Linked DNA regions of Arabidopsis thaliana. The protein of the gene in region 3 binds, or shares a complex with, the protein of the main gene of each other region. Each region holds a gene or a part of one and is shown on either strand. Other genes may lie near its edges.

The links.
Region 1: SYN1 (region 3) and SYN2 share a complex: the UniProt entries of both Arabidopsis thaliana proteins name them as parts of the cohesin complex.
Region 2: SYN1 (region 3) and SYN4 share a complex: the UniProt entries of both Arabidopsis thaliana proteins name them as parts of the cohesin complex.
Region 4: SYN1 (region 3) and SYN3 share a complex: the UniProt entries of both Arabidopsis thaliana proteins name them as parts of the cohesin complex.

The regions. Positions count from the first base shown.
Region 1 is NC_003076.8:16,358,804-16,365,642, reverse strand, and holds SYN2 (Rad21/Rec8-like family protein), read left to right. Parts: upstream 1-1,764; 5' UTR 1,765-1,920; coding exon 1,921-2,044; intron 2,045-2,188; exon of another isoform or gene 2,189-2,582; coding exon 2,583-2,856; intron 2,857-2,936; coding exon 2,937-2,974; intron 2,975-3,052; coding exon 3,053-3,099; intron 3,100-3,256; coding exon 3,257-3,327; intron 3,328-3,399; coding exon 3,400-4,157; intron 4,158-4,236; coding exon 4,237-4,348; intron 4,349-4,433; coding exon 4,434-4,570; intron 4,571-4,642; coding exon 4,643-5,226; intron 5,227-5,338; coding exon 5,339-5,375; intron 5,376-5,597; coding exon 5,598-5,619; coding exon of another isoform or gene 5,620-5,623; exon of another isoform or gene 5,624-5,706; coding exon 5,707-5,839; intron 5,840-5,936; coding exon 5,937-6,032; 3' UTR 6,033-6,312; downstream 6,313-6,839. UniProt on the Arabidopsis thaliana protein: May be involved in sister chromatid cohesion during mitosis.
Region 2 is NC_003076.8:5,314,549-5,322,204, forward strand, and holds the start of SYN4 (sister chromatid cohesion 1 protein 4), read left to right. Parts: upstream 1-1,648; 5' UTR 1,649-1,952; intron 1,953-2,209; 5' UTR 2,210-2,234; coding exon 2,235-2,358; intron 2,359-2,532; coding exon 2,533-2,794; intron 2,795-2,893; coding exon 2,894-2,991; intron 2,992-3,076; coding exon 3,077-3,126; intron 3,127-3,492; coding exon 3,493-3,545; intron 3,546-3,998; coding exon 3,999-4,098; intron 4,099-4,313; coding exon 4,314-4,782; intron 4,783-4,861; coding exon 4,862-5,281; intron 5,282-5,384; coding exon 5,385-5,523; intron 5,524-5,824; coding exon 5,825-5,961; intron 5,962-6,061; coding exon 6,062-6,930; intron 6,931-7,005; coding exon 7,006-7,039; intron 7,040-7,260; coding exon 7,261-7,372; intron 7,373-7,475; coding exon 7,476-7,605; intron 7,606-7,656. Other genes in the region: ELF9 (RNA binding (RRM/RBD/RNP motifs) family protein), read left to right, coding at 275-351, 438-518, 629-720, 822-948. UniProt on the Arabidopsis thaliana protein: Involved in sister chromatid and centromere cohesion during mitosis.
Region 3 is NC_003076.8:1,622,195-1,629,750, reverse strand, and holds SYN1 (Rad21/Rec8-like family protein), read right to left. Parts: upstream 5,546-7,556; 5' UTR 5,427-5,545; coding exon 5,379-5,426; intron 5,189-5,378; exon of another isoform or gene 5,040-5,188; coding exon of another isoform or gene 5,022-5,039; coding exon 4,987-5,021; intron 4,757-4,986; coding exon 4,688-4,756; intron 4,563-4,687; coding exon 4,504-4,562; intron 4,425-4,503; coding exon 4,380-4,424; intron 4,267-4,379; coding exon 4,247-4,266; intron 4,144-4,246; coding exon 4,067-4,143; intron 3,933-4,066; coding exon 3,815-3,932; intron 3,319-3,814; coding exon 3,252-3,318; intron 3,164-3,251; coding exon 3,085-3,163; intron 2,902-3,084; coding exon 2,789-2,901; intron 2,521-2,788; coding exon 2,423-2,520; intron 2,352-2,422; coding exon 2,202-2,351; intron 2,123-2,201; coding exon 1,975-2,122; intron 1,896-1,974; coding exon 1,813-1,895; intron 1,718-1,812; coding exon 1,546-1,717; intron 1,452-1,545; coding exon 1,370-1,451; intron 1,264-1,369; coding exon 1,124-1,263; intron 1,040-1,123; and 7 more. Other genes in the region: MOP10 (Pollen Ole e 1 allergen and extensin family protein), read right to left, coding at 1-35; AT5G05480 (Peptide-N4-(N-acetyl-beta-glucosaminyl)asparagine amidase A protein), read left to right, coding at 5,587-7,413; EIF2 ALPHA (eukaryotic translation initiation factor 2 alpha subunit), read right to left, coding at 7,537-7,556. UniProt on the Arabidopsis thaliana protein: Involved in chromosome condensation, pairing and segregation during meiosis. Responsible for cohesion between replicated sister chromatids.
Region 4 is NC_003074.8:21,995,528-22,001,242, reverse strand, and holds SYN3 (Rad21/Rec8-like family protein), read right to left. Parts: upstream 4,192-5,715; 5' UTR 3,982-4,191; coding exon 3,858-3,981; intron 3,625-3,857; coding exon 3,366-3,624; intron 3,281-3,365; coding exon 3,234-3,280; intron 3,145-3,233; coding exon 3,095-3,144; intron 2,987-3,094; coding exon 2,952-2,986; intron 2,837-2,951; coding exon 2,352-2,836; intron 2,260-2,351; coding exon 2,154-2,259; intron 2,077-2,153; coding exon 1,940-2,076; intron 1,842-1,939; coding exon 1,330-1,841; intron 1,240-1,329; coding exon 1,154-1,239; intron 1,069-1,153; coding exon 930-1,068; intron 849-929; coding exon 747-848; 3' UTR 506-746; downstream 1-505. Other genes in the region: AT3G59570 (Ypt/Rab-GAP domain of gyp1p superfamily protein), read left to right, coding at 40-213; AT3G59540 (Ribosomal L38e protein family), read left to right, coding at 4,501-4,503, 4,836-5,019, 5,324-5,346. UniProt on the Arabidopsis thaliana protein: May be involved in sister chromatid cohesion during mitosis.

The DNA.
Region 1 (6,839 bases), about 15 Mb from region 3:
CAAAGACAATTACTTAGGGTTTAATTGGTTTTCCCTTTGTCACTCGCAAACGCTGTATTTGCGGGTGCTAGCGATTGTTAGCGATTGACATCAATCATAGAAACCGCTAGATACTGCTTTACACCGTTCAAAATCGCCAGATTTCAAAAGCTCATTCCCGCAAGCATTTGCGGTTGCGGGCGGTAGCAGTTAGGTTATTTTTTTTTTTTAATTAATTAAAATAATTATGTCTTCTACCCAAACCCTATATATCTTATTCTTATTAAAAAAAACCTAATCAATATTTAACGGAAGATTCCAAAGATCCCAAAATCAGATTTCTAAGTGATGTTCAAAAAGAAAATATTCTTAAGAATATTAACGACCAGTTTGGGAAAAATTTGAGTTGGAGATGTGTTAAAAATCGTTTGGATATCTTGAAGAAACTTTATCATATGTATAGAGGCAATCCGGAAAACCCGCGAGTTCAACGTTATTTATAGTTTATCACACTACTTGATGCAATTTTTGGTATGTACCAAATGCATAAAGTATTAAACTTTTTCTTACAAAATTTATTTATTTTAAATTTAATGTTTTATTTATGGTTTTAATTATTAAGCATGTTTAATTTTTCTAATATTATCAATTTATCATAATAATATATTGTATTTTTCTTTCTTTTAATAGTAATATATTATATTTATTTTGGTTTTTTATTTAATTACTATCACACTTGCTGGTTTACCGGTCATAAAACTCCCGAAAACGCACCCATTATCAAACGCTTAACCAGTCGTTTAAAAGGCTTGATAACGCTTAAAACCGCAACCGGCCGTTTCCGCAAACTTGCGCAACCGTAACCGCACCCGCTGTATTTAAACCAGTCAGGCCCTTATATAAGAATTGATCAAATTATTGGGCTTTTAAGAGTTAGGTCGAGAGACTTTTTATTGGGCATAATTTTATTCTATTCAGGCCCATTCGCAACGTAATGCCACGTCGGACCAATGGTCTATGAGATGTCGCTGTCACTTAAACGCCACGTAGACTTTTAACCGGACACGTGTTATACAAAATGACTGTGCGCAGTTATAAACGTTTAAACGCTCTTAACGATGCGTGAAGGAGTGAGACAGCTCACATTTCCATCAAACTAGTCGTTATCTTTTAGTGTGGTAGTATTATATTATTTATTTACTTCTTTTTCTGTAGAATTTAGAAAAGGTAAATATAAATATGAAGTCAATAATCAGCATTAGCATATTTCAATTCAATTGTTATCTTCGTTGATTAATTTTTAACAGCAATGTTTTTTTTTTTCCTATTCAAAAAATTAACTTGTATATATATATATATATTTTGTTTATCCAAAATTAATTAAATAAATTATAAATTATCTAATACTATCAGACTATCACTCCCTCCAAAATTATTTTTTCTATTCTTATGGAAAAATAGGAAATTGCACAATTAAAAAGGAGAAGGTTTTTTTTTTTTTTTTTTGATCAACAGAGAAGGAAGTATCAATTAAAAAAAAATGCATAATTAAGAAGGTGTGATTTTCTGGTCACCGTCTAATTAGGAAAATTTAAATTTATGACACCTAATTCAAAACATTTTCAATTTCCAAAACTACATAACTTGTCAATAGACTTTAAAAAGTTTAATTACTCTAAAACGACTTGAAAATAAACAGATTAAGCGTGACTTAACAAGAAAAAAAAAAACTAAAATTAAAATTAAAAGAAAAAAAGTTAATCGGTTTAGTAAGAAGCTTGTTCCGTACACCGCTTGACCGTTTCCTTCTCCTCAATTTCTTCTCTCCCTCGCTTCACTATTTTACGAAGTTGCTCGCTCTCTCTCTCTCTCTCGCTGCTCTCTTAAAAAAAACTAACCTTTGTCTAAAACCCAGAATCTGGTAAACCTTCACACTCAAAAATGTTTTACTCGCATTGTCTAGTATCGAGAAAAGGACCTTTAGGAGCTATTTGGGTCGCTGCCTATTTCTTCAAAAAGCTTAAGAAATCTCAAGTCAAAGCTACTCATATTCCTTCTTCCGTTGGTTTGTCTTTCTCCTCCTTCACATTCTTCTTCTTCTTCTCTCTGTTCTAGTTAGAGATTTTTCTCCGGCGATTGGAAAAGTGATTGTTTGAGTGAAACTTTGCAGCTTTAGTGGATTTTTTAGCTGGAATAGAATTTTAGGGTTTCGTTTGTATCCATTGGCAGCGTTAATTAGAGATCACTGTTGATTTTGTTGGGGTCTTTCAATGTTACTTGTTTATGTTCATCAGTTGTTTGACAAAATGCCTGAGTGAACCTCAGAGATTGAGTTCAGTGATTTATTTTAAGTCTGAATAGTATCGAATCCTTAGTAGTATCAATCTGCCTTTTCTCATATAAACTTAAATCTAAACATTTCATCTTACTCACTTAGTATCAGAAAGCTGCTGGTCAACGCTTAGTTTGCTTGATCTCTAAAGTACTTGTATCCTCGAGAAAGATGGACTTTTTTTCTACAACATTTGACATTTTCAGTATTTTTTACTTTAATGACGTTTCTGATGTGTAATTCTTCGGGGGTTTTTTTTTTGGATGCACAGATCAAATCTTGCAAAAAGAGTTAGATGCGTTGACATACAGAGTTTTGGCGTATCTTCTTCTTGGTGTTGTAAGGATATATTCCAAGAAGGTTGACTTTTTGTTCGATGATTGCAATAAAGCGTTGATCGGTGTAAAGGAGTTTGTGGCTAAGGAAAGGAACAGAGAAAAGACAGGTGTATCATTGCCTGCATCTATCGAGTGTTTTTCCATTGCTTTACCTGAGAGATTTGAACTAGATGCTTTTGATCTTGGGGTTCTGGAGGATTTTCATGGGTATGCTTGTTATTTCTATATAGAATGTATTTCGCAGAGATTCTTTCATAGTCTCAACTCTTTTGTTTCTTCTTTCTCAGGGGAAATGTTAAGCCGCATGAAGATATTACACTTAAAGGTATCTTATCACTAAAGTCGTTTAAAGGGAATCTCATCACTGTTCATTTACTAATACCACTGCACTGCGATAAAACAGATGGAAGTCAGGAAACAGAGCGCATGGACATGTATTCGATGGAAAGGGTATGGTTTCTCACCTTATAGATTACTGAGTGTGTAACTGTTAGGTTCTAAGCTACTACAGCGTATATTGACATTGTTTCTTCGTTCCATTCCTTTTAATTCTGGTAATTTCGTGAATCTATATATGTAATAAAGATAATGCTTTGTGGAGTTGCAGTTTGACATGGAAGAGGACCTTCTGTTTACGTTTCATGAGACTTTCTCTACCAATCATAATGAAAATAAACAGTGAGTCTGATATTTTTGGTTCCATACATGTAATCGGCAAACACAATCCTAATTTTCTGTTTGTTGTTGCAGTGAGAGTTTTGCTCATGATATGGAATTGGATGCAGAAAATGTCAGAGATACCACTGAAGAAGCATCCGTCAGAGTCGTTGAAGCGGAACCACTGGATTCTAATGAACCATCCAGAGATCATCAAAATGCATCTAGGCATAGAGAGGATCCAGAATCAGATGACATTCTTCTGGAACCGCAAATGTCCGAAGATATCCGAATAGCTCAAGAAGAAGATACAGTTAGAGAAACCATATGTACCATTGTGCAGAGACTAGTGGATTCTCATGAATCCTCAGGAGATAATCTACACAGAGATGGTCACACAGAGAATTTAGAATCGGAGAAAACCTCGAAGAAAACAAGTTGCGAAGAGATGCAGCATGACAGGTCCCTCCCATCTGAATGCGGAATACCTGAAGCAATTCATGGGATTGAGGATCAACCTTCTGGTGCCACAAGAATTAATGGGGAGAAGGAGATCCCTGAGATGAGTACTCTAGAAAAACCAGAACCAGTATCTGTGACTGGTTCCAGAGACTTGCAAGAAGGCGTAGAAAAATGTCGAGACCATAATGAAGCGGAAATGGCAGACTTTGAATTGTTTCATGGGTCTCATAAAGAGCAATCTGAAACTTCTGAAGTGAATCTCCATGGTTCCGAGAAAGGTTTTCTCTCTGACATGACTGTTTCTAAAGACCCTAGTAGCGAATTTAATGCAACAGATACTCCAGTTACTGTCACTCCCAAAACACCTTCCCGGTTGAAAATTTCTGAAGGTGCACACTTTATTGAAATATGAGCTTAATATACTTTTAGTTACGTTTTTAGCGTGTTAACCTATACTTTGAATTACAGGGGGAACAAGTCCACAGTTCTCGATCATCCCTACGCCGGCTGCGAAGGAGTCTTCTCGAGTTTCACGGAAAAGAAAATGTCTGATAGATGATGAAGTGATAATTCCGAACAAGTAAGAGAACTATTTGTAACCTGGATTAGATTCGTCTGCAGAGTTCCGTACAAGTATGTAATATTTGGTTCTTTTGTTATTGTAGAGTTATGAAGGAAATGATAGAGGACTCAAGTAAATTGCTTGCAAAACGGAGAAACGTACCTCATACTGACTGTCCTGAGAGGAGAACCAAACGTTTTGCCAATCCTTTTCGAAGTTTTTTGGAACCTTTGATTCAGTGTAAGTAAAACCTGGTAATCCGCTGTATATCGTATTGTATTGTTGTGTTTGCTGATTGTTGTAATCCCGCAGATGGTTCTTCGGACCTCCAGTCGCTTTTTTGTCAACCCATCAAGCTTAAAAACTGGGCAACCACAGGAACCCCTAAAGATACTAAAATCGCTAGACATAAGGAAAAGTCTTCTCTTGACACTGTCAGATCTCCTGGGGTTATTTTATCTTCAGATCAGACTGAGAATACTCAAGAAATTATGGAGACTCCTCAGGCTGCTGCTCTCGCTGGGCTGAAAGTGACAGCCGGAAATAGTAACGTGGTTTCGGTTGAGATGGGAGCAAGTTCTACAACTTCTGGAACTGCTCATCAAACAGAAAATGCCGCAGAGACACCTGTGAAGCCTTCAGTTATTGCTCCAGAAACACCCGTGAGGACATCAGAGCAAACAGTGATTGCTCCAGAAACACCAGTAGTCTCTGAGCAAGTAGAGATTGCACCTGAAACGCCGGTGAGGGAATCAATGTCGAAAAGATTTTTCAAGGACCCTGGGACCTGTTATAAAAAATCCAGACCTGCAAGTCCCTTCACTTCCTTTGAGGAGCACCCGTCTGTGTATTATGTGGAAAATAGAGATCTTGATACGATTTTAATGAACGATGAGGTACTGCTGTGTTGCATCCTTCTGATAGTAGTTAAAAAGGTTTTTATAGTTCTTTTAGCCTATCTTATTTAATTGCAAGACTGAGCATTTTTTTTTTTTGTTTCTGCTTCAGCAGGTGAATGCAGATGAAAGACAGGACTTACAACAAGGTAAAACGCATTCTGAATTTTTGTAGGTCTCATGAGTGCTCAGGCTTTTATTGATTTAGTAGACAAGAATCTATTAAGTTTCTGAAATTATATGTAGCTTTGAGTGAAAGTTTCAACCATCGAAATATACGCAACTTATTTGGAATCCAAATCTTATCAAATTGTTCTTGTTGCATGTCGATCATCGTGCTGCGTCCTTACCATGTATATTTTGATTTGCAGAGACATGGTCCTCAAGAACAAGGTAACAGACTCACACTTTCGGTATCAACAGCTTCGATTCGCTTACATTCAGATGATTATCCTGGTTTTCTGACGCTGGATTGTACAGGAATGTGGCGAAATTCTTGGAAAAGACGTTTTTGGAACAGAGGGAAAGAGAAGAAGAAGAGAAGGTGAGTTTGTTGCAACTGTGTAGAGGAAGAACTCAGAAGGAAAGCGCAAGACTCTTCTACGAGACTTTGGTATTTCTCAATTTTTTTACAAGCACATGTCTTCACCGTTTTATCTGTCTCCATGAAAGACTTAAGATGGAGAAACTCTCTGAATTTGATTTTGCAGGTGTTGAAGACCAAAGGATACGTGGAAGTGAAGCAAAATCATCCATATAGTGATGTTTTTCTCATGCGTGTTTCCAGACCACAAAAAGCTTGTTGAAAAATGGATATTTTCTTCACTTAAGATTTTCCTCAGATTTCTTCAGTTAGGTTTCAGATTAATGTTGTTAGCTTTTAGTATCTTCTAACAAAATAGCTATTTTTAGTTTTTCTTTTAAGTTAATTTTTAGTAAGAATAATTGACGATCTAAAGTATATGTGTCTTATCAAGTTTTTAAGTTTTTAAAGAGTCCTTAGCCATGCTATAGATTGTTTTAACGACTAGCAGAATTGTTAACATGTGATAACGGGTGCCAGAGTTTCGTTAAGGACTGATAACGCTACATCTATTTTGATCAACGAATTTATATATTTCAAACGTTTATAAATATTTAGTTCACTAGATTTTAACTCGCGGTATATTGCGGGATGATTTTTTTTTTTAAAGTAGTATATATCAAAATTTGCAAAATATATGTATTTATAAAATATTGATTCAAACATATTCATCATATAACACCATTTCAAAATCCAAAATATAATTTATTCTGTAATTTTTTTATCCGTCTCGTAATTTGTTTTTTAAAAATATTAATTTCTAAAATTTAATAATTATTTATTATATATAAAAGTATACAAGTTGTATTATTCTCTAAGTCATTTATATTTTATAGTTTAACTTTATATATAATAACATTATACCACATAACATTTTTGGTTTTATACAATTTTTTCTAAAAAAATAATTTTGATATGTCTAATATTGGTGGTCTTAAAAAATAATAAATTAAAAATTTAACCCGTATTAAAGCGGTAGATTAATGATATTTTAAGTTTTTATTAATATTGAATCAAAAATCTATCCCTT
Region 2 (7,656 bases), 3.7 Mb from region 3:
TCTTTCTGGTGACTTGTGATATCTTAACTGATGAGCGTTTCCTGTTATTGAGCCATTTTTTCCTCCTACTATGTTTATTTAGGTCAGTGGCCATTGCGGATGCATGGATCAAAAGGGAACATATAGTCATGTCAATATTATCTATTTCTGATTATTCCTAGTTGATTTTGAGCATATTAAAATCAAAAGAAATGACCATTTTAGTTGTTGAAGTTGGAGATTGTTCCTAGTGGATTCTAAATTTTATCACATTTCCTCTCTTTTGTTGACGTAGGTGGTACAGATGATTCTAAGGTCTCAATACCTGCAACGGTTGTTCTGCGCTACATGTTCAGTCCAGCTGAGTTGATGGTAGGTCTTGTCCAATAGTTAATATGAGAAATGTTGCTATTTTTAAGAGTAGCTGATATAGCTTTGAGCATTTACTCTGTTTGCAGGCTGATGAGGATCTGGTTGCTGAGTTAGAGGAAGACGTGAAAGAGGAGAGTTTGAAGCATGGACCGTTCGACTCAGTGAAGGTAATAATATGATTTCTTTTTATCTTAAGCTGGTGGTCTTGCTTGCTGCATATAGCTTTGTGGAAAACTTGAGATTATTTTGGAGTACCAATCGAATCTCTTCTTTACAGGTATGTGAGCATCATCCACAGGGTGTTGTTCTTGTAAGATTCAAGGATCGGAGAGATGCACAGAAATGTATAGAAGCAATGAACGGTCGATGGTACAAACTCTCCTGAGTCATCATTTCCGCCTAATTGCCATTAGAGTCGGTATTGAGTCTGATGCTTACATGTACTTCTTTCTGTTTCTGGATGAATGCAGGTATGCAAAGAGACAGATACATGCGAGCCTCGATGATGGATCAGTGAACCATGCTACAGTTAGGGATTTTGATTTGGAAGCGGAACGGTTAGATCAGTTTGCAGCTGAACTGGAAGCTGCTGAGTAAAAAACAAAAGCACAATGATCTAAAGCTGGGAAGATTTGGATTATTATTCTGGGAAACTCAGGTTTCTGATGTAAATCACTAGGCACAGACACATCTGAATCAGACCAACGCAAACCCAGAGGACCGGTTTTATCTAGTACTAGTAGTATTACCTGTAGTGAAATTAACGAATAAGACTGCACTTGCAAGTGTATTTTGATATTCGTTGACTAAAAACCTTTACTACTATGTAATACGATTTTCTTCTAGAAATTTGAAAAATCGGAATTTAAAAGTTATGCTTCACTATATTTTTTCCTTATTTGTTAAATCATGATACTTAGCAGTTTTTGTGTGACACCATCACATGAATTTTTGTTTCTATCAATCATTTGTTTAAAATACTTTGTATTGTAGTTTGGACCTAAATTTCATACTTTTACAGCAGAATGTTGTCAGATGATCTCTAATAACAGAATCTTTATTTTTCTGTTTTTCTTATTAAAAAGTTTCGATTTTTTTCAGATTTCCCGCAATGAGGCAAAAGAAGCCGCCGAGTTGAAATATTTTGAAAAAAATGGAAAAACCCAAAATATTTTCAAGTAATAATTAAATGAAGTTAAATACTGTTGGGGCTAGTTGACGAAAACAAAAATTGTTGAAAAATGATCTAAATCTAAAGCTATGCGGGACCCGCTAATCTCTTAACCAATGAGAGAACGACGTATGTCACGGAACATGTGTTTCTTTGCCGCACCAAATCCCTCATTTAATCAAAAATCAACCAAAGATCCAAATTTCGAAACTTTTTAGTTTTTTTTGCATATCGCAATTTCCACAAATTTTACTGTTTTCCTTGGCTGTTGTTGTGTCTGAATCTCCAAGAAGAAAGAGTTGTGTCTTTAAGATTCTGCTTTTACCCAAATTGGGTGTTCTTTTTCCAAGTTTCTGAGAATTAGGGTTTCCGCGAGGACTCTGTTCAAATCGAGCTGTTTTGGACTTGTTTGAGCTTGGTCAATTCTACGGTAATTGATCTACCCTTTGCTCTCTATTCTACTTACCGAAGTAGTCTAGTGTCTCTGCTCAGTGGCAATTGCGAGACTTTGTTGTCGGTTTGAGCTATTTCGATTCTGTTGTCGAAATTTGGAAACTTTTTTTGATTCTCTATAGACGTATCTTTGGGGCTGAAGAAAGGGATTTTGTTATCTGAATAGTTTTTGAAGCTCAATTTTGTTACGGTGAAATTCTAACAAGTTGGTTCCTTTTTGTTGAATTTTTTTAGGGTTTTTTGGTATAGAGGACGAGGAATGTTTTATTCGCAGTTTATATTAGCTAAGAAAGGGCCACTTGGGACAATATGGATTGCTGCCCATTTGGAGAGGAAGCTTCGAAAGAATCAGGTCGCTGATACTGATATTGGAGTCTCCGTTGGTGAGTATTTTGCTACCTTTTGCTTTTGTGTACAATACCTCTGATTCAGGTCTCAGTTCGTTGTGCTCACTAGGGTTAGCAGAAGCTAAAGTTTCCTTCTTTTTCAGTTGTTATGTGGCTAAACAAGTTCATCTAAAATATTTCCTAATATAACTAATTTCTTTTTCTGAGCAGATTCTATTCTCTTTCCGGAAGCTCCGATTGCATTGCGATTGTCTAGTCATCTTCTGCTTGGTGTTGTGCGTATATATTCGAGAAAGGTGAATTACCTCTTTGATGATTGCAGTGAGGCATTGCTTAAGGTAAAGCAAGCTTTTCGCTCTGCTGCTGTTGACCTACCCCCTGAAGAATCTACAGCGCCGTATCACTCTATTACGTTGCCAGAGACATTTGATCTTGATGACTTTGAGCTTCCAGACAATGAGATCTTTCAGGGGTTGGTTTCTTTATGTTTTAACATTCAAACTCGTATTCCACTCTTACTCCAATTTGCATAATTTGTTTATTTGTTGCTCCTTGTTTTCCTGTCTAGCAGTAATTACGTTGATCATCATGTTAGTACAAAAGAGCAGATCACCCTTCAGGATACCATGGATGGCGTTGTATACTCAACGTCACAATTTGGATTAGATGGTCAGTGGTTGTTTCATATTTGCTTGTCTTTAGTTTGTAGATAGCTATGCCGTAGATAAGCAAAGTCATTTTAAAACTTTTGCAGAGCGATTTGGTGATGGCGACACTTCTCAAGCTGCTTTGGATCTTGATGAGGTATTTTTGTGTTTATAATAGATATTTTCTACTTTGTTCAAGTCATTTTGGAACAAGAAATAGGATAACCATATAGAAAGCTGAATATGAAGAGGTTATCTGTAGATTTCATTTGCTTTTAGATTTTGGGTTCTTTCTCTCCTCTGTTTGGGTAGACGCAGCAGCTGGAAGCTCTGATTGGTATCCAGTTGCGGAGTCCTAGACCGTGAAAAGCTTGTAATTTGAAGTGTTAGGTTGCAGTCATGTTGTAGCGTCAGGATAATGTTGATGTTTTCTTTTTCTAGTGAAGCTTTGCATATTTGCAATCAGAACTTCTCTCTTATTATTTTGGATGTGATCTTTTATCATTCCTCTCTTGTTGTGCAGGCAGTATTCCAGGACAAGGATGTTATTGGATCCGACGATGAGGGAGTTCCAGGGTCAGTTTTTGTTCATTATCTTTGGCTATATTCTTTGTAGCATAATTGCTTTTATGCTTCCCTATGGTTCCTCTCAAATTAACTATCGAAGTGTCAGCTTGATCTTCTTTTCTGGAGCTGTTCAGTACCTTTTCTATATTTTCATACCGCTACTTCAGATTGTTATCATAGATTTTAAATGCTCACATTAGGGAAGATCTCGAGTTGACTGAATGATAAAAAGCTTTGCGTTTTGGCGCTTGAATGTGTGTGTTTCAAGCTTTGTAACCATGCTTTTTAAGTTCCATGACATTCATACCTTGAGTTTGTGTTTGTTCTGTAATTGGATTGTGAATTAGAACTGCAATTCTGTGAGTCTTATCCTTCTTGGATGTGGACCTTTGGTGCATAATTTGGACGTGCAAATTATCAATCAAAAGTTTTACTTATGTAAGATATTCTATTTGTTGATAGTATTGATCACAACGCGTATCTGGATGCGGCAGCACCCGGGATAAAGGATTCGATGGAAGGAGTCTCTGAAGCCATGCCCATGGATTTTAATGAAGAGCAGGTGCGTACCATACATAATGCACGAGGGCATACCTATAGTTGCTTAATAATTGTCACCTGAGTCACAGTGCTTAATGTGATATATTTTACTTTGCATTATGTCTGAATGTACATTGCAGTTACAGACTCCAAATTTACAATTTGTTTACACAGATTTATTGGCTTACTTTTCTGGTAAGACTATTGGATAGTATTGTGAATCTCTCTTTTTGATAGGTTGAAGATCTTGCTATGAATAATGAGTTCATCGAAGATGCTCAAGCTCCTCAAACTCCTGGATTAGTTGAGGTGCCAAACTCGTCTAGTGTGAGAGAGCAGATGGCATGCGATGATCACATGGACGTAGAGGATCTGAATGCAGAAGAAGGTATAAAGTCCTCTGGGGAGCTGAATGCTAATGAGATGCCTAAACGTGGGGAAGACCTGTCTTCTGAATATAATGCCCCAGAATCAGCAGTTACTCCTGTGGAGGTAGATAAGTCACAGATAGATGAAAATGTCAACACACAAAATGAGCCGGAGGAGGAGAGGGCAGAGCATGTACATGTTACATCTCCATGTTGTTCTCACATCACCACCGAGATGGAGGATCCTGGTCAAGTAATGAATGAGGCAGGAGCTAATGTTGTACCTGATAAACCCGATGCTGTTCCTCCACTTGAAACCCCTGGAGAAGAGAACCGAGGTTTGTTGGCAAAGAAAATTGCAAACCTTATACGACATCTTAGTGCCTGCCTTATGCTTATAATTTTTATTGTTGCCAGATCATTTTGCCATTGCCACTGAGGTCAATCAGGAAACAGATTCTAGTTTACAAGGAGATGAGCAAGCGTACAGTAGACCAGATGGGCAGCTGAATAATGCACACGAAACTGATGAACAGTTGGGAAATTTGACTGGATTTACCGATTCTGATTTCCCTCCACCTGAGAAGGTATTAGCTGTACCTAACAGACAGGGGGATGGAAATGATTTCATGGTTGAATCTACACCAGATAAAGAAGACCCTGGCACATGTAATGATGATGCGGGGAATAATAACATTACTGGGAAAAAACGCACTTTTACTGAGAGCACACTAACTGCAGAAAGTTTGAACTCTGTGGAGTCAGTTGGACTGATTCAGTCAAAGAGAACTGCAGATTCTGTCCCTGATGACGATGATTTGTTGTCTTCTATCTTAGGTATCAGTTTATTTTGGATACTCTGTCTGTTCTTTTATACATTCTATTGCTCTTTGAGCTAGCTTTATGGATCAATTATCGTTGAATTTTTTTTTTTTTTCAGTTGGAAAGTCATCCTTTCTGAAGATGAGGCCTACCCCTGTGCTTGAACCAGCAACTACAAAACGGTTACGATCTGCTCCCCGCTCTACTGCCACAAAGAGGAAGGTTCTAATGGATGACCCTATGGTCTTGCATGGCGAGTATGTTTGTCTTACTGTTTTCTTATATCTGATTTTCTTATACCTTAGTTTTTTTGTTCCACTGCTCCAAGTGGACCTTTCATAGAAGTTCTTGTTTTAGCTACTTAGGTTCAAGACAGCTAGAGTCAGAAGTAAATTAATGTGAATCTTGAATTCGTTTGACTACTGATTTTTTCTTTACTGTAATTGGAGTTTGGTCTTCTTTTAAGTTTCACACCTTTAATTACCTAGGAGCGATATTTTTTTACCTTATCTCAATTTGTATTTGTTTTCTTCTGATGTTGCCTACTTTTCTGTTTAGCATTATACGTCAACAACTGACAAACACTGAAGATATACGGCGCGTGCGAAAGAAGGCACCTTGCACCGTTCCTGAAATCGTAATGCTTCAAAGGCAGGCTTTGGAGGATGGACTCTTTAAGGAGCCAATATTTACTGGTAAGTTCATGACACTAAAATGTAGACCGTTCTATACACGTTCTGTTGATTGTTCTTATAATCTGCAGTTATATAGCTAATATGTTTCACTGATTTTCAGGTATGTCAGTGGAATTAGTATCTCTGCACACTGAGCCGTATGATCTAAGAGGAATCATGATAATTGAGAATGATGACCGTCATGCTTCTGTTGGAGCGGTGGAAGATAATGAATGTTCTGTTACGGCCGTGGAAGAAAATAAAACGGAAGAAAGCTCTGATCCGCAAGCTCACCCAAATGATTGTGAGGAGCAACCTGGTACGGCTCATACTCACCCGCAGGAGGAACAAACCATAAACCAACAGGAAGAGCTGAAAGATGATAATGAGCTTGCTGAAAAATCTGACTTGGAGGTTTTGAAGGAAGGCAATGGAGCTGCTGATGAAGTAAATCTTGTAGTGATTGACGATGTCAGTCAAATACCGTCTGAGGAAAAACTCGACCGTGTAGAGGATTTACAGGTTGAAGAATCCCATGAAAACCATGATGGAGAAGGCGGGCAGGATGTTTGTGCGGATCCTAATGAAAAAAGTTGCACTGACGTTATTGAAATTGCTGAAGGCGATACAGATATCAACCCCATTTTCAATGAGATGGACTTGAAAGTTGAAGATGAACTTCCACATGAAGATGAGAAAACGGATGCATCAGCTGAAGTTAGCGAGCTTGGGAGAGACGATCAGACTCCATGCGATAACACAGTTGGGTCTACTGAAACTGGATGCCTAGAAGCTGGTGATTTGAGTAACATGGCTTTGGAAAATTGCAATGAACCTCTGGTGGAAGCGAATAGTGATGGGTTGAATCCAGAGACAGAGTCTTATAACAAATACGAACCGCATAATGAGATGTCTAATGAGGAGGCGTCTATGCAAAATGCATTAGATGGAGAGCATACTTCTCGTGATGGTCTTATGGGAGACAATGATGTAAGTTTCTTTGTTGCGTCATATCCTTATTCAAGTAAGACATGTCCCTGACTCTCTTGTTATCTTATGGTGTAGGAAATGGATACCATGGAAAATGCACATGACACAGGTTCTAAGCCTTTTCGAATTTCAATTCTTTTCTTTTCCAAATGGTCTGTATCCTCTTCATTTGATCAATGGGACTGATACTCTGGTCATCATATCCTGGTTCAAAACTGGACTCAACAAGCTTAAACTTGGAGCATAATTTGGATACGAGATGCTGCTAGTGCTATTCCCGATGATTTCTCAATGGTTCTTCTTATTAATTTCTTGCATTCGTGTCTTCAGGATTTTTGAACGTCGATGATGATGAAGTAGATGAAGATCATGAGGAGGATGACATACAATATGATGATGAAACTCGTCTTCTAGAAAACAGTGGATGGTCTTCTCGTACTAGGTCTGTACAGTTTATGACTTGCTCAGATTTTAGCTTCTATCATGTGAGAGACGTGATGTGATGGGCTTGAATTATGAAAGCTTCTGATTCTCTTTACTTTTAGGGCTGTGGCAAAGTATCTCCAGACGTTATTTGATAAAGAAACCGAGAATGGGAAGAATGTTCTTGTGGCAGACAAACTTTTAGCTGGGAAAACCCGTAAAGAAGCATCGAGAATGTTTTTCGAAACCCTGGTATGTCCATAACACAACCCTAAACTAAAAAAAAAACTCTGATCTTGAATC
Region 3 (7,556 bases):
ACGAGAACGGAGAAGGGTAAGGCTCTTGAGTCCATGTTACTTGTTATACACTCTGCTTCTTAAACTTCTTCTTCTTCTTGATGTGTGATTCAGGGGTAAGAAATATGCGTATATATAGAAACATATAGAGGCTGGTATTTGATTGTGTAATTAGTTTAATTTTTTGAGAAATTTGACAAATTGTATGAAACGTGTGAGCGACTAATTATGAAGATTATACATGTATTGTATGAAATGGGGGCAGTTGCGGCTTATTACGTGACTGCCACCATTTTCTTTGTCAACGGAGTATATATTAAACTATTGTTTTGTTTATGCTCTGTTCAATACATCTTCTAAGAAGACTCAATATATGCGAGTAAAATACTTAAATTATAGAATAATGTAAAAATTAGTTTCAGATGTTTTCGGACAAAGCTAGGATGTGATGATGTATGAGGTACTAATAACCATATAACAAAAGGACCAAACAGAGGAATTTGGGTAAAGAACGCTTGCTCTTTATAACTTAAAAAAGTCTACGAACTCTCTCTGCTAGAATATGAAAAGCAAAACAACTATGGATAATCGGTTCACCAGAATCTTTTATAATTTAGAAATCAAACCTTACATGTTGGGTCCTCTTGCAATGAGAATGTCCCCATAAGGCTCTGCTTGGTTTACCTTGATGACTCCGCGAGTAGCTAACACTGGACATATAAACAATAATCATAGTCAGGTTTTTTTATGCTCAAAGAAAGTGAAATTAAGTTGAAGTAGAAGTTAGTACCACAGGATTGGAAGAAGAGTTTAGCTGCAGCGTTTCTGTCCATTCCAACAGCGAGCTTGTTAAGAGATTCCACTTGAGGAGCTCCAGGTGTTTCAAAGTGTGTCTTCAGGTGACTGTGTTTCGTTTATAGATCTCATCATTGTTACTCAGTATATAGATTTGGCAGATAATTTTGAATCTCTTACCTTTTGATGCTATCTGTTATCATCTCGTCTGATTGATTGCACACTGGCTTTTGAGTCTGTGTAGATGCAGTTTCAAATAGTATTTCTGTGAAAAAGAAGCCACGTTAAGGTTTGTAAGATGGTGTTTTTGAAAGTTGTATAGGATCAAAAGACAATTAAAAACTTCTACCTTTATCGGCTGTGAAGCGTTTTTCAGGTAACATTGAAAACTCAAACTCATATTCACGGTGCTCCCACGGTCTCTCTTCCGCCACTGGTTCGAGTCCTCTTCTTGGTGAGGAATTTGGTCTTTTTCTATTGGGCATGCGACTGATTTGGTAAGCAGAAGAAGATTTAGTGATCGTCTTCCAATGGAAAACTTGTTTGTAAGTTACTATTGGTTTTAGTATCAGAGAAACTTAGATGTGTTCTTAACCTTTTAGAGCTGATCTCTATGTTGTTAATTGAAGCTGCTCCACGTGCGGATGGTGTACTAGGCATGGATCTCACATCATCTCCTGTAATTCCCATGAAAATCAAATAACTTACGCTAAATATTCCACAATACCAAGCTATGATCTGAAGACTGGATAAAATAGAGAAGCTTTTAACCAGAATAGAATGGCGTGACATTAATATCAGCAGCCTGGCGGTTAATAGTTTCAGGGCTTGCTCGAGATCCAGCCATCATGCTTTCTACTGAAGCACCTTTCCCAGTACGAACTGTCCGGAGTATTTCTGCGGGACTATCAAGATTTTGGGAGCTTGTGTCACTGCGCTCATGCTGCATAAATCCACATTCTGTTAGAGAGAATATGAAATGTGCCTTTCTCTTATTGATACTAAACTTTCAGGAAAGAATATGCTTCCGCGACTTACATGGTCTGTTTGATGGTGGTTATGCATTCTCTCCTGAACAAACCCTGGAGATTGTTCCGCACGGAGATCAGGATGTCGAGATTCTGTATCGACATTTCCAAATGTCAGATTCGTTTCAACAAGGAGAAAACAAAAAACCAACAGTTATGGATAGAGAGAGACCAGATGATGAGGTTTGAAGAACTTGAGTATTCTTTGACCAAAGCTGGTAAAGCTGAGGCGGGTAAGAACTGTCCTTTTCAAAGAGTTGTGTAGGTGGCATATTCGCACGTTTGAAACTTTCCATGTCTGGCCGGATAGTTCCTCGAACCTACAAAAAGATGTCAGATGTAAGGCCAACATGAGCACCAGTTAATACAATAAAGGCCAATGAGTTCAAAAATTTGAACCTTTCTCTTTTCCCCCCTACAGAGAATGTCAGAAGTATCCTGGAGCCATGACTGGTAAACATGACCAGCGATAATAGTTTGCTCATAATCCATCGCTGAAGTAGCTGTCTTTCTTGCTCTCTTTTTCGCTGGTTGTGGTCTATCGTGTTCCTGCATGCAGAACAAAACCCAATTCAATGTATTTTCTACTAGATGAGGGTATTCCTAGTAAGTGAAAATACCTCTTTGTCCGGTATGTTTTGTTCCTCCATCTGCTCAGCAAATCCGTCCCTACGATTCTCCTGTTGCTCCTGGCGCTGAGGGCTTGTGGGGTTGACTCCTGCAGATGGCTAAAGATTAGTAAATTTGTTCTGCTCTGTTCACGAAGCTCAGTGTTCATATCATTCAGAAGCTTCAACAAAAATACATTCCCAGGTCACATACATGATTATTATACAAGAGACTCGCCCAAGTCATTGTTATTGGCTTCATAAACTTAACACTATTTAAAAATTGAAAACAATTTCATCTTTGACTCAAAAATTCATATCCCCATACAATAACCAGATGTCACGATTATAGAAGGGAAGAGTGACATAACTATCTACCTTCGGGAATGTCATGATGACGAGGTGGTGATGGGATGAGAGTTGTAGGTATTTCAGCGCCTTCTCTTGGATTGGAGTTCATCTGTGTTTCATCATCTCCTTCGATGTCAAATCTGAGATGCCATTAAAAAGCAGAATAGAATAGAACAAATCATCACCAGCTTTTTGCTGAAAGGTGGATGAAAGAAAATACAGAAATAGTGAAACGCTACAACTTCTACCTTCAACAGTTATTCGAGAAGGTTTAAAATCTGGGAATTAAAGACTGAAGATAGATAGTGGGATTGAAAGCTCACCTTTCAAAACGATCATATGTTTCATTGTTGGTCTGGAATGAACCATGATACTCAAAGAGTGTGATATTCTCGGCATCAGCTGAGAATGTTACAGAAATTGACAAGCGGATAAATGTAAGTTATTAACATGTCGTATACTCACAAAGGTTTTGTCTCAAGATACTCACCTTGATGGAACTGCTGTCCAAGATCTTCTGGCTCGGGGTTATTGTTAACATGGGATTCATCTAACCGCTGCAAAGAGATAAAACCACGCAATGAATTAGATCAACTGAAGATGCACACGAGTAATCATTGGTATACAAGGAGATGAACACTACTATGATCAATTCACATTAACAGTTGCATCTTTTGTGCATTGTCCATTTCCACAGCCCATAGGTTACACGTCAAAATCTTAAGCGATGTTCAAATGATTTTGGTTTGAGTTCATATGCTTCAAGTTCCAAAAAGATTTTCCTTTGAAATATTCACCTGTAGACTAAAATGAGGCTACTCATAAACCACATGCTTGAGTTAGACCAAGTCTTAGGTGCCCTTTATGCGCCAACTTATTTACTCCACTTTTATGGGCAATGAAGAATGATGGCTACTGATTTTTCTATATCTTATACACTGTTTTAGGTTGGAGAGTTCAAGCCACAATTCTACGAATTGATGAATATTGAGACGTAGAAAGAAAATAAATACCCAATTCAATCTAGAATTCACAGGGAATTGAGTTGATTACCATGGAAATAAAAGTCTGCTGAAAATCCATGTAATTGCCAAATTTAGGAACATTACGAGTCTGTTCAAAATCTCCAAAATCAGCTTCTTCGTTCTCAGGCAATGTAACAGCCTCTTTCCTGCAAACAAAAAAATCCAACACGCCAATCATTTCTATTATTCTTCACGACAATGTTCTTATGTTTACGATTTGATCCTTCAGAATCCTTCAATGGCATGAGAAGCTCCTTCAAGGAAGAAGATGTGACATTACCTGGCATGGGTTTTTCCTTTAGGTAGTAAAGTGGGATCCGGAACAGATTTTGTGCGCCAAGCTCCATTAATTTCAACCTGAGAAAAATAAACACATGTGAAAATCCAGAAATCGAGGTACGTGAATATGATTTTGACGGGGAAACAAAAAATAGAAGAGGATCGGAGAAGATTTGATTACCAGAAAGCGATTAACATCATCTGAAATATTGACGGAAAATAAAACCCAGAAAAAGAGCAGAGTCTCATCAGAAAAAGAGGAGAGTGTAAACTTAAATCCCAAAATTCAAAAATGATTTGAATCAGAAAATTACCGAATAGGAGCTTCACTTTCCTCTCATAAACAATCACAACACCACCTATCGAATAAACAAAACATTGAAGAACCCAGAATGTGAAGAACTGAGGAAAAAAAAAATCCGATGAGCAAAAGCATACCCATAAGAATCCCGGAGAGTCTAAGAGCCATCGGAACCGACGGATTCAAAATCTCTTCGCTGTAAGAGTAAAGTAACCAACAAAAATGGAAAAATCAACGTTCGTTTTCATGGCAGGAACACCAAAAAAATCGAAGCAGAGTAAAACCCAAAAAAAGGGCGAACACTATCTCATCTCCTCTCACCAGATTTGAATGATATCGAGCTTATCTAGTTTCTTCCGGTTGATCTTCGCGTGCAATGTAGCGGCCATCCTTAAGAAGAAGAAAAATCAAAAACAGAGTTTAGAGATTTTACTCTATGCATTCACTAATAATCCATATACAGATCAATCAATGGAAATCGCAGTGACGATTTGAAGCAGTGACAAGTGCTTGATCGCGACAAGGAAGTTCCCAGCCGATTTCAAAAACAGATACAGAAACAGAGGTTGCAAAATCATCGTGATAATCGGAAAACGTTTCACTGATAGAATTTGACTCACCATATCTGACCCAACGGAGCTTTTCGAGCTAGAAGCTGGTGAGAATAAAACATGATTCAGCTCAAGCAAAAAAAATCCAAACTCAGGAAGAGAAAAAAAGAGAAGCGAGTCTTTGCGTGGAGAAGAAGCTGAATCTGAGTAAATAGTTTTTTTAATGCGTTTCTTTATGTGTAAATTTGTCTGTATATAGATTTATGAAGCCGCCATGAGAGCTTAAGAAGGGAAAACTCGCAGTGATCGTAGCGGGAGAGGAGAGAGTAAGCATGTCAGGAGAAAGGCTAAAATTAAGTGACAGTGACGAAAGTGTCACTAGTAGCCCTCTCTTATTTTGACACGTGCACAGATTATAAGTAACCACACGTGACGCTAAAATAAATTTCGAATTCCGTTACCGTCGCTGGTCCCCACACTGTTACTATCAAACTCTCCAGTCTCAACATTTCCTTTCTACTATCTGCCAATTTAGGATGTCAAACGACACGTAGTTGATTCTCCGAAATATAAAAACGCTTTGGTGTTTAATTACGTCCCTTCTCTCTCTCCAGTCTCCATTGAAGTTCGCATCGGCGAGCTCGGATAATCAAAAACACAGAAGCTATCATGCCAGAAAATCAAAACGGCGCCGTTAAGTTCTTCTTCACACTTGCTTTTCTCACTGCTACCGCCGTTTCTCGTCCTTCCTCGCCGGATCGATTCCTTAGATCGGCTTCGACTTGTCTCCGGTCACCGGTCGAGCCTCAGGAGTACGAGGAGCTCAGGCGGCCCCTACCGTCCGATCAGCTAACGCCGTCATGCTCGCATGTCCTCTTCCGCCATTCATTCGCCAACACCATCAACAGACCTCCTTTTACCACTCCATACACTCCCCCTTCCAGCTGCATATCGCCGCCGTGGTCTTATGTTGTACTTGACCTACGCGCCGCCTCGAGTGGCGATCAGTACGATCGTATCTCCGGCTTGTGGCTCGGCGGAGTGGAGCTACTTCGCACCAGTACGGCGGAGCCGAGTCCATCCGGAATCTTCTGGAATGTTCGGAAAGACGTCTCTAGGTATTCCTCGCTCTTTATGAGATCCGATTTAAATGTCACAATGATGCTTGAGAACATAGTCAACGATGTTTACACAGGCATCTATCATATCAATGTCACCCTCATCTTCTACGAATTCAATCCTATTGCGTCAAATTTGAAGATTAGTAACAGATTAGGGTTTGTGGATTCCCAGAAAAGAGATCAAACCCCTGCGGATTTGATAATTCCGGTATGTGACGGAGGGAACAGAGGGTTCTGGTTCATGATCGAGAACCCCAGAGAAACTTACTCAAAAGGAATTCAAATTCCGTCCAACACTCGTCAGATTGTGCTGGAACTATATGTATCGTTCCATGGAAACGATGAGTTCTGGTATTCAAACCCGCCAAATTCTTATATCAGAACGAACAATCTAACAACCGGGCGTGGCAATGGTGCATACCGGGAAGTTTTTGTTAAGATAGATGGGAGATACGTGGGATCCGAGGTGCCATTTCCGGTGATCTTTACTGGTGGAATCAATCCCTTGTTCTGGGAACCAGTTGTAGCAATCGGTGCCTTCAATCTACCTTCCTATGACATGGACTTGACGCCATTTCTCGGGTTGCTTTTAGATGGAAAGTCTCATGAGTTTGCGTTTGGGGTCAACGATGGGATATCATACTGGCTTGTGGACGCTAATTTGCACCTCTGGTTAGATCACGGGTCTTCGAATGTTGAAGCTGGGTCTAGACTTTATGATAGCCCGAGTCGGCATATGATGAGACAAGAACAGCTTGAACAGCTTGATGGGTCGTTTAAGGTTGAAGCAGAGGTAAGTAGTGAATATGATGGCTGGGTTAGATCAAGTAAAGGTAATCTGACCACCATGGTCAAGAGCATGTTCAAGGTTGACAGCTTGGTGAGGTTCGAGAAAAACGGAACATACAAGAGGGTTGAGCAGAGAGTGAAGACCGAACGGATCGTGGAGGTGACTTCTGAATCGGGTAAACCGGTGAATCGAGTCGTGCACCAGCGGACATATCCTCTTACAGTGATCACTTCTACTCTTAGAGGGTTAACCAACGACAAGGATACGTATATGCTCGTGACGAATGTTTCACACGCCTTGAATGAGACACATTCAGATGGAGAGGCTTTGATCCAAGTTTATAGCAGACAAGACTCAGAGGGTTGGATGGAGGTTGAAGATCACAATGTCTTGGCTGGTGAAGCGAGCACAAAACAGAGTCTTAGCTATATCGATGAATTCAGCTGTTATTCCCGCACCATCGTTGCGGCTAATGGGGAGATTGCCCAGGACAGTTCATCTGATTCTTGTACTTCGTCTTCATTCTCAGAGCTCAACACTATTGAGCAGCTTATCATAACCAATGTTATGAAACACTTGTCGTGAATAAGAGATGCTTGTACTACTAACCATGTTTGGGGTCAAACAAAAAATACTGTTTTTGCTCAAAGGGAAACAAAATTGTAGGATCTAAAGCAGAAACAGCAGTTACAATGCTTTTGCTTTTGTTCATTCAATTATCCCGCTAC
Region 4 (5,715 bases), on a different chromosome or scaffold from region 3:
ATATTCCATCCTCATATCGAACTGCATACCTTTTATTAGAATCAGGTAATCAAGATTGAGAGCCACATTCAGTCTCAGAATCATAAACACCATGAGATACAGAATCAAACCGCGATGGAGAACCAAATCCCAGAAGAGATTACAAGTCATGATGAGAACTGTAGCCAAAGACCAAGTTTATGCAATGGTCCTGTCATGCCCCTTAGAGAATGATGACTGATGAGTACGATAGATTCCACCTATAATTTATAATATTATTTCTAGATTTCCATAGTCTGCTAAGATATACAAAAGAAGAACAATTGTAGAATAGGTAGGTCGTCTTTAGATTTTGAAGAAGGTTTTGCTATAACATTTATGAGGTTATCTATGTATACTCCGTTAATTTATGTGATCGATATCTTTGATTCCATCGGTACACATGTTGAGGCTTGAGAGCATCTACACATGTTGAGGCTTGAGAGCATCTAGCTCCATAATTCACTCCATCACAACACGTGCTAGTCTTTCATTTCCAGAATCATAGAGAATCTCAAAAACTTGTTTTTTTACAACATTGTCAAATTTGAACTCAAGTGAAGTATTGGCTAATGATGGAATTTAGACGTTTGTCCATCTCTTAGGGTGAAGCTTTACTTGTACACAATGTAATAAAACCAGGGCTCAAAAAATTAAGAATTGACTACTTCCTCGTCTAGCTTCAATGTTAATAATATACATAAGTAAGTTTATTAAGCATTGTTTATTCACGTTTGAACCTTAGAAAAAAGGGCAGGCATCAACTTCAAAGCGATATCTCCGTATGGTCGGTCCTGTTGCATATCTATAAGTCCCCTAGACTTCAAAACCTGCAAATTCAAAAACAACTCGTCTAAGCTCGAGGCACTACAGAGATACAAAGAAAAACATATGTACAGAGAATCACTCACCAGTGTCTCGAAGAACATTCGAGCAGCTAGCTTCCGTGTCTTTCCTGCCAAGATCTCGCTCAAACTTAGATCTCCAGAAGGATGGCTTGATGTGGTGGGACTACTTGAAGAACGTTGTTTAAGATACTGAGCCAAGGCTCTGCAATGTTCAATGAATGTTACAGGTTAGTAGAGAAACAGTAGGCTCTTAAATGAAATCCACATGGTTTTAGGAATATATATACCTTGCTCTCCCTGTCAAAGCAGCAGAATCTTGACTAGCTGGTGTTCCTACTGGGGAATTGCCACCTACCTCCAGGAAATAAAGTTCCTGTATGGCACATGCAAATGGTATTGCTATCAAGGTTAGCAACGCACCAAGAATGGTAAAAACAAAACACGCGAACATGCGAGAACAAACCTCGTCAGTCCTTTCAGAAACAGGTGAAAGCCCCAAATTTCTTTGGCCAGGCAAGTCCTCTGGAACTGTGGAAGTTGAAGGCTCTGTTCTATAAGATTCTGTCTCCCAATTTCCAGACTGAGTGGTGAAGTCATCGGTTCTAAAAGGTGAAGATCTTGGAGGTGGTGACGGCATGTACACCGGGAAACCACCATCCCTTAAATGTTCTATTCCCATGTCATCGTTATCAAATGTCCGAGGAGATTGTGCTTCTGTTGCTACAGACTCTGCATGCGCGGGTCGAGGACCTGCAGAGTCTAGGACATCTTCAGTTTGCTGCGCTGGAGATAGCTGAACTGTACTGTCTGGATTAGTAGAATCTGGAATTGGAGAGACCGGATTAATTTCTACTTCAGCTTCTCGAGTAGGAGATACAGATGCAGGTTCTGGTAAAGTTTCATCAGAAACAGCAAGATGTGGCTTTGAAGCTACATAGTCCTTTTCAAAGACATTGCGTAAATCATCTGAGAAGCCTGCAGGTTGACACATACAGGCAATAATCTTTCTTCAAAAACAAAGGGAAAAAGAAGGCAAAACTGTCGAAAATAAAATAATAATCAAAGAAAGTTACCAGTAAACAAGGGCTCATTGAAATTTTGATCCTTCCTTGACTGGTTATTCATTCTCCAAAACTTTAATTTGGATGAAGGCATCTTCTTTCTCTTACGTAGAGTATCACTAGGATCCTTAAGCCTTTCACTTATGTTCCTGTTCAAACTATTTGATCAGTACGGAACAGCTAATGAAATAATCAAAGCCACATGAAGCAACGGAAAAGTTATTACTTGTTGGTTAATACTGTGACACCATCAAAGTTCTTCCTCTTCCTTGCCCTTCTTTGTGGTTGGGGAGGAGGAGATGGCTGAAGCACCAGTTGAGGTGATGGATGCACTTAACATAAAGAAAAAAGTGTTTTAAATAGATAATAAGAGAGAGAATGTAGTGGTTAAGCTTCAAATTATCAGACTATGTTGCTAGCTCACCAAAATCTGCACGTTCTTCCTCAGAACCAGCAGCAGAACCTGGAGATCCTGAGCGAAGCTCAAACGCAGAATGCCTTCCAGAATTTAACATTTCTTCATCAATACTAGGGATAGTGGGTTCCTTCTCATTCAAAGTTTCATCCAATGACTCAGTGCGTTCAACTCTGACATCCTGTTGTTGTGCAGCAAATGATGGATGGGACGTGGGGCTTAGATCATGTGCAGCGTCACGCATTCTCTCAATCTCGGGAACAGTTCCAGGAGAAGTGGCATCGTTTCTCTCGGAATTGGGAATGCGCTCTTCTGTCAAGTTACTTTGTCTAGGATCCTGGACTTCAGTGAATTCCTCTGTGACGTTACGAGGACTATAGGTTCCAGTATCGAAAGCAATATTGGAGTCTCTTGGCTCATTGTCTGGTCCTGTCTCATGAGCCGTTTCAACATCAATTTCTCCGGTATGCCTACTCACAGGTTCTGTTGATTGGCTGCTCAAAGCAAAAAAATATGTAACAACATTATTAAAGAAGATCAACTAAACAGATAAGGAAGATTAAGAGCAAGGTGTAGTAAAGGAAATCAAAACTCTATGAAGAGCCTCACTCGACATCCATCGGGATAGATTCTGAGATGATGTCCTGTAAGAAAGGCATACAAACTTTCATTCAATAACAAGTGCTCGGAGACATGGGAAACAAGAAGTCAGAATCAACTTCAAAGTCATAAGAAGCAAGCAGTAATCTCACCTCGTCGAATGTTACAGCAACATAAGGATCAATGCCAGTAGGAATTTGATCTGAAAAATAAGCATCAACATCATAAACACCTCAAAATCATGGTATGCTGCATCTAGAACCAAGGAAAAAAAACACAGACAAAAGGTACCTGTGAGAGTGATATCTTCCTCACTCCGAGTATGATTATCGAATTCCCTAGAATTCACAAGAAAAGAATGTTAAAGATGAGTCAGGCTTTAGAACAGATAAAAACTCAAATAAAAGCAAGAAAGAAGAATACATGTCGAGAGTGTCATCTTCCAAGTCGAACTCGTCCAGATTTAGTGCTTGAGGCAAAGTAACAGACTCAGGCGGGGCCTGTCTGGCATCCTCAGGCAAGTTAACTTGAGTAGAAACGAAAGCCTTAGCTACCCAAGTATTAAGGAGATTCCAGTCATTGTAAAGATAATCCACTTTCTTTGAATATATTCGCACTACCCCAACTAGAAGGTGACTTGACGTTCTCAATGCCAATGGTACTTCAGGAAACATTATATTATCTGCAAAGCCAATTGCAAAATTCTCGAAAAGTCAGAAACTTTATTAAAGCAGAGAATTTCAATTACTACAATGGGTTATATATAAAAAACAAAATCGGAATTTGATGAATGCCCATGTAAAAATTCGTATTGCCTTTTTGAAATTTCGAATTGGATACAATCAAAGGGGATTCAAAAAAAAAAGAAGCGAACTTTGGATCAAAAAGCGAAAATTGAAGATAGGAAAGACGAACCAACAGTGTCGGGGATGTTGATGGAGGTGTACTGAGACTTCTTGAGGCGTTGGTGCACATGAGCGGCGCACCACACCGTCCCCAATGGACCCTTTCGAGCCAAAAGCGTATGTGAATAAAACATTTTAATTCCTTCGAACAAGGAGCCCTAAAGAAGCAGAGATGGAGATACTGAAGTTGATTTGAGAGAGAAGGATTATCGAATCGAAGGTGTTACATTATTTAGAGAAACCAATCAATTTTGAATAGGAAACTGCAGAGCGAAAGAGAGAGAGACGAAGCGGTAGGGTTTTGTGTGCTTTTGGAGAGAGGAAGAAGTGTTTTTTTAGTGGAGCGGGAAAAAACATTTTGTGGCGCTAATGTTGAAATCATAGGCAAATAGACGCAATGACTTAAATACCCTTTTCTTATTGGATCCGAGTTTTTTGAAATTTGCCAAACAAAACAACTTGGGCCACTAAACCCAATGGCCAACTTTTCGGATTAATGGGCCTAAGGGGTACATTTGGAAATTCGCGTATATGAGAGTCTAGGGTTTTCTTCATATTTAGGTTTCTCTATTTCTTTCAGACGCTGGGTTCTTGCTTTTGCTGTTTGTTCTCTTGAGTGGAAGAAAGTTGCAGCCACTAAATCAGATCCGACAATGGTAAAGTTTTCTTCGCCTCTCAGTTTTATTATTCTCAGGAGGATTATTGAAGCTAAATATTATTTGTTTGATTATCTGTTCTCACGACTAGGATTTTAGTAAAGTTTGCATGATTGAGCTGAAAGTAATCAATCTCTTATTGTGGGTTTCTTGTTTGGTTACTGATAATCTAGTAGATTAGAGTCTTCCTCGTAATTGACCCATTGGTTTAAGTTTCATCTTGAAATGTATGAAGTGTTCATCATGCAGTAACATTTGGGTCGAAGTCTTGTTGTGTGTTCTGTTTTGTTTTGTATTGATTGAAAATGGATGTTGGTTTGGATAATCTGCAGCCGAAGCAAATCCATGAGATCAAGGACTTCCTTTTGACGGCGAGAAGGAAGGATGCAAGGTCTGTGAAGATCAAGAGAAGCAAGGACATTGTGAAGTTCAAGGTCAGGTGCTCAAGGTACCTCTACACACTATGTGTCTTCGACCAAGAGAAGGCCGATAAGTTGAAGCAGTCTCTTCCTCCAGGTTCACTATCTCTCTCTCTCTCTCTCTGTGACTCAGCCCAAACATTACACACTTGAAACCTCTTATCTCATAACATTTGTTAGATTGGATAGATGTTCCTAGCTTTGAGTAATTCATCACTTGAAAGTTCTAGTGTCATAATATTGTTGGATTTTGGTTTTTGAATTCGAATAGTCTTGTGGTTAATCTACTTTAATTCAGACACTTTTAATTGGCATGTTTAGGTCACAAGTTATTTTTGGTTGGTCCATGAACGCATGCGTCTATCTCTATCTAAGTTGAATTTGCCAATTGTTTATTTCAGGTTTGAGTGTGCAAGACCTTTGAAGATCTTATGAAATCAGGATCTATCATGGTTTTATATACCCTTGTCTTAGATGATTTTGTTTTTTCCCTTTCTGCTGTCTTTTGAATGACTATGATTCAGACTTCCGTTGAGTTTCTTTCTTATAACTTCAAGACTAAATTATGAGTTGGATTTGTATTTTTTTTTGCTATCAACTTGGTTAGTAATATATATGGCCCCAACAGTTTGGAGTTTTGGATAGTTGTGCTTTGAGAAGAAAGCAGACACCACAGATTTCATAAAATGTTCATTGCTATGTGATGCCAAACAAACTACAGAAAAAGTTACTGAAAAAAGAGTAAAACGTCGTAATGGAGATGATTGTAACGTCATCATTTTGGAGAAAAAGC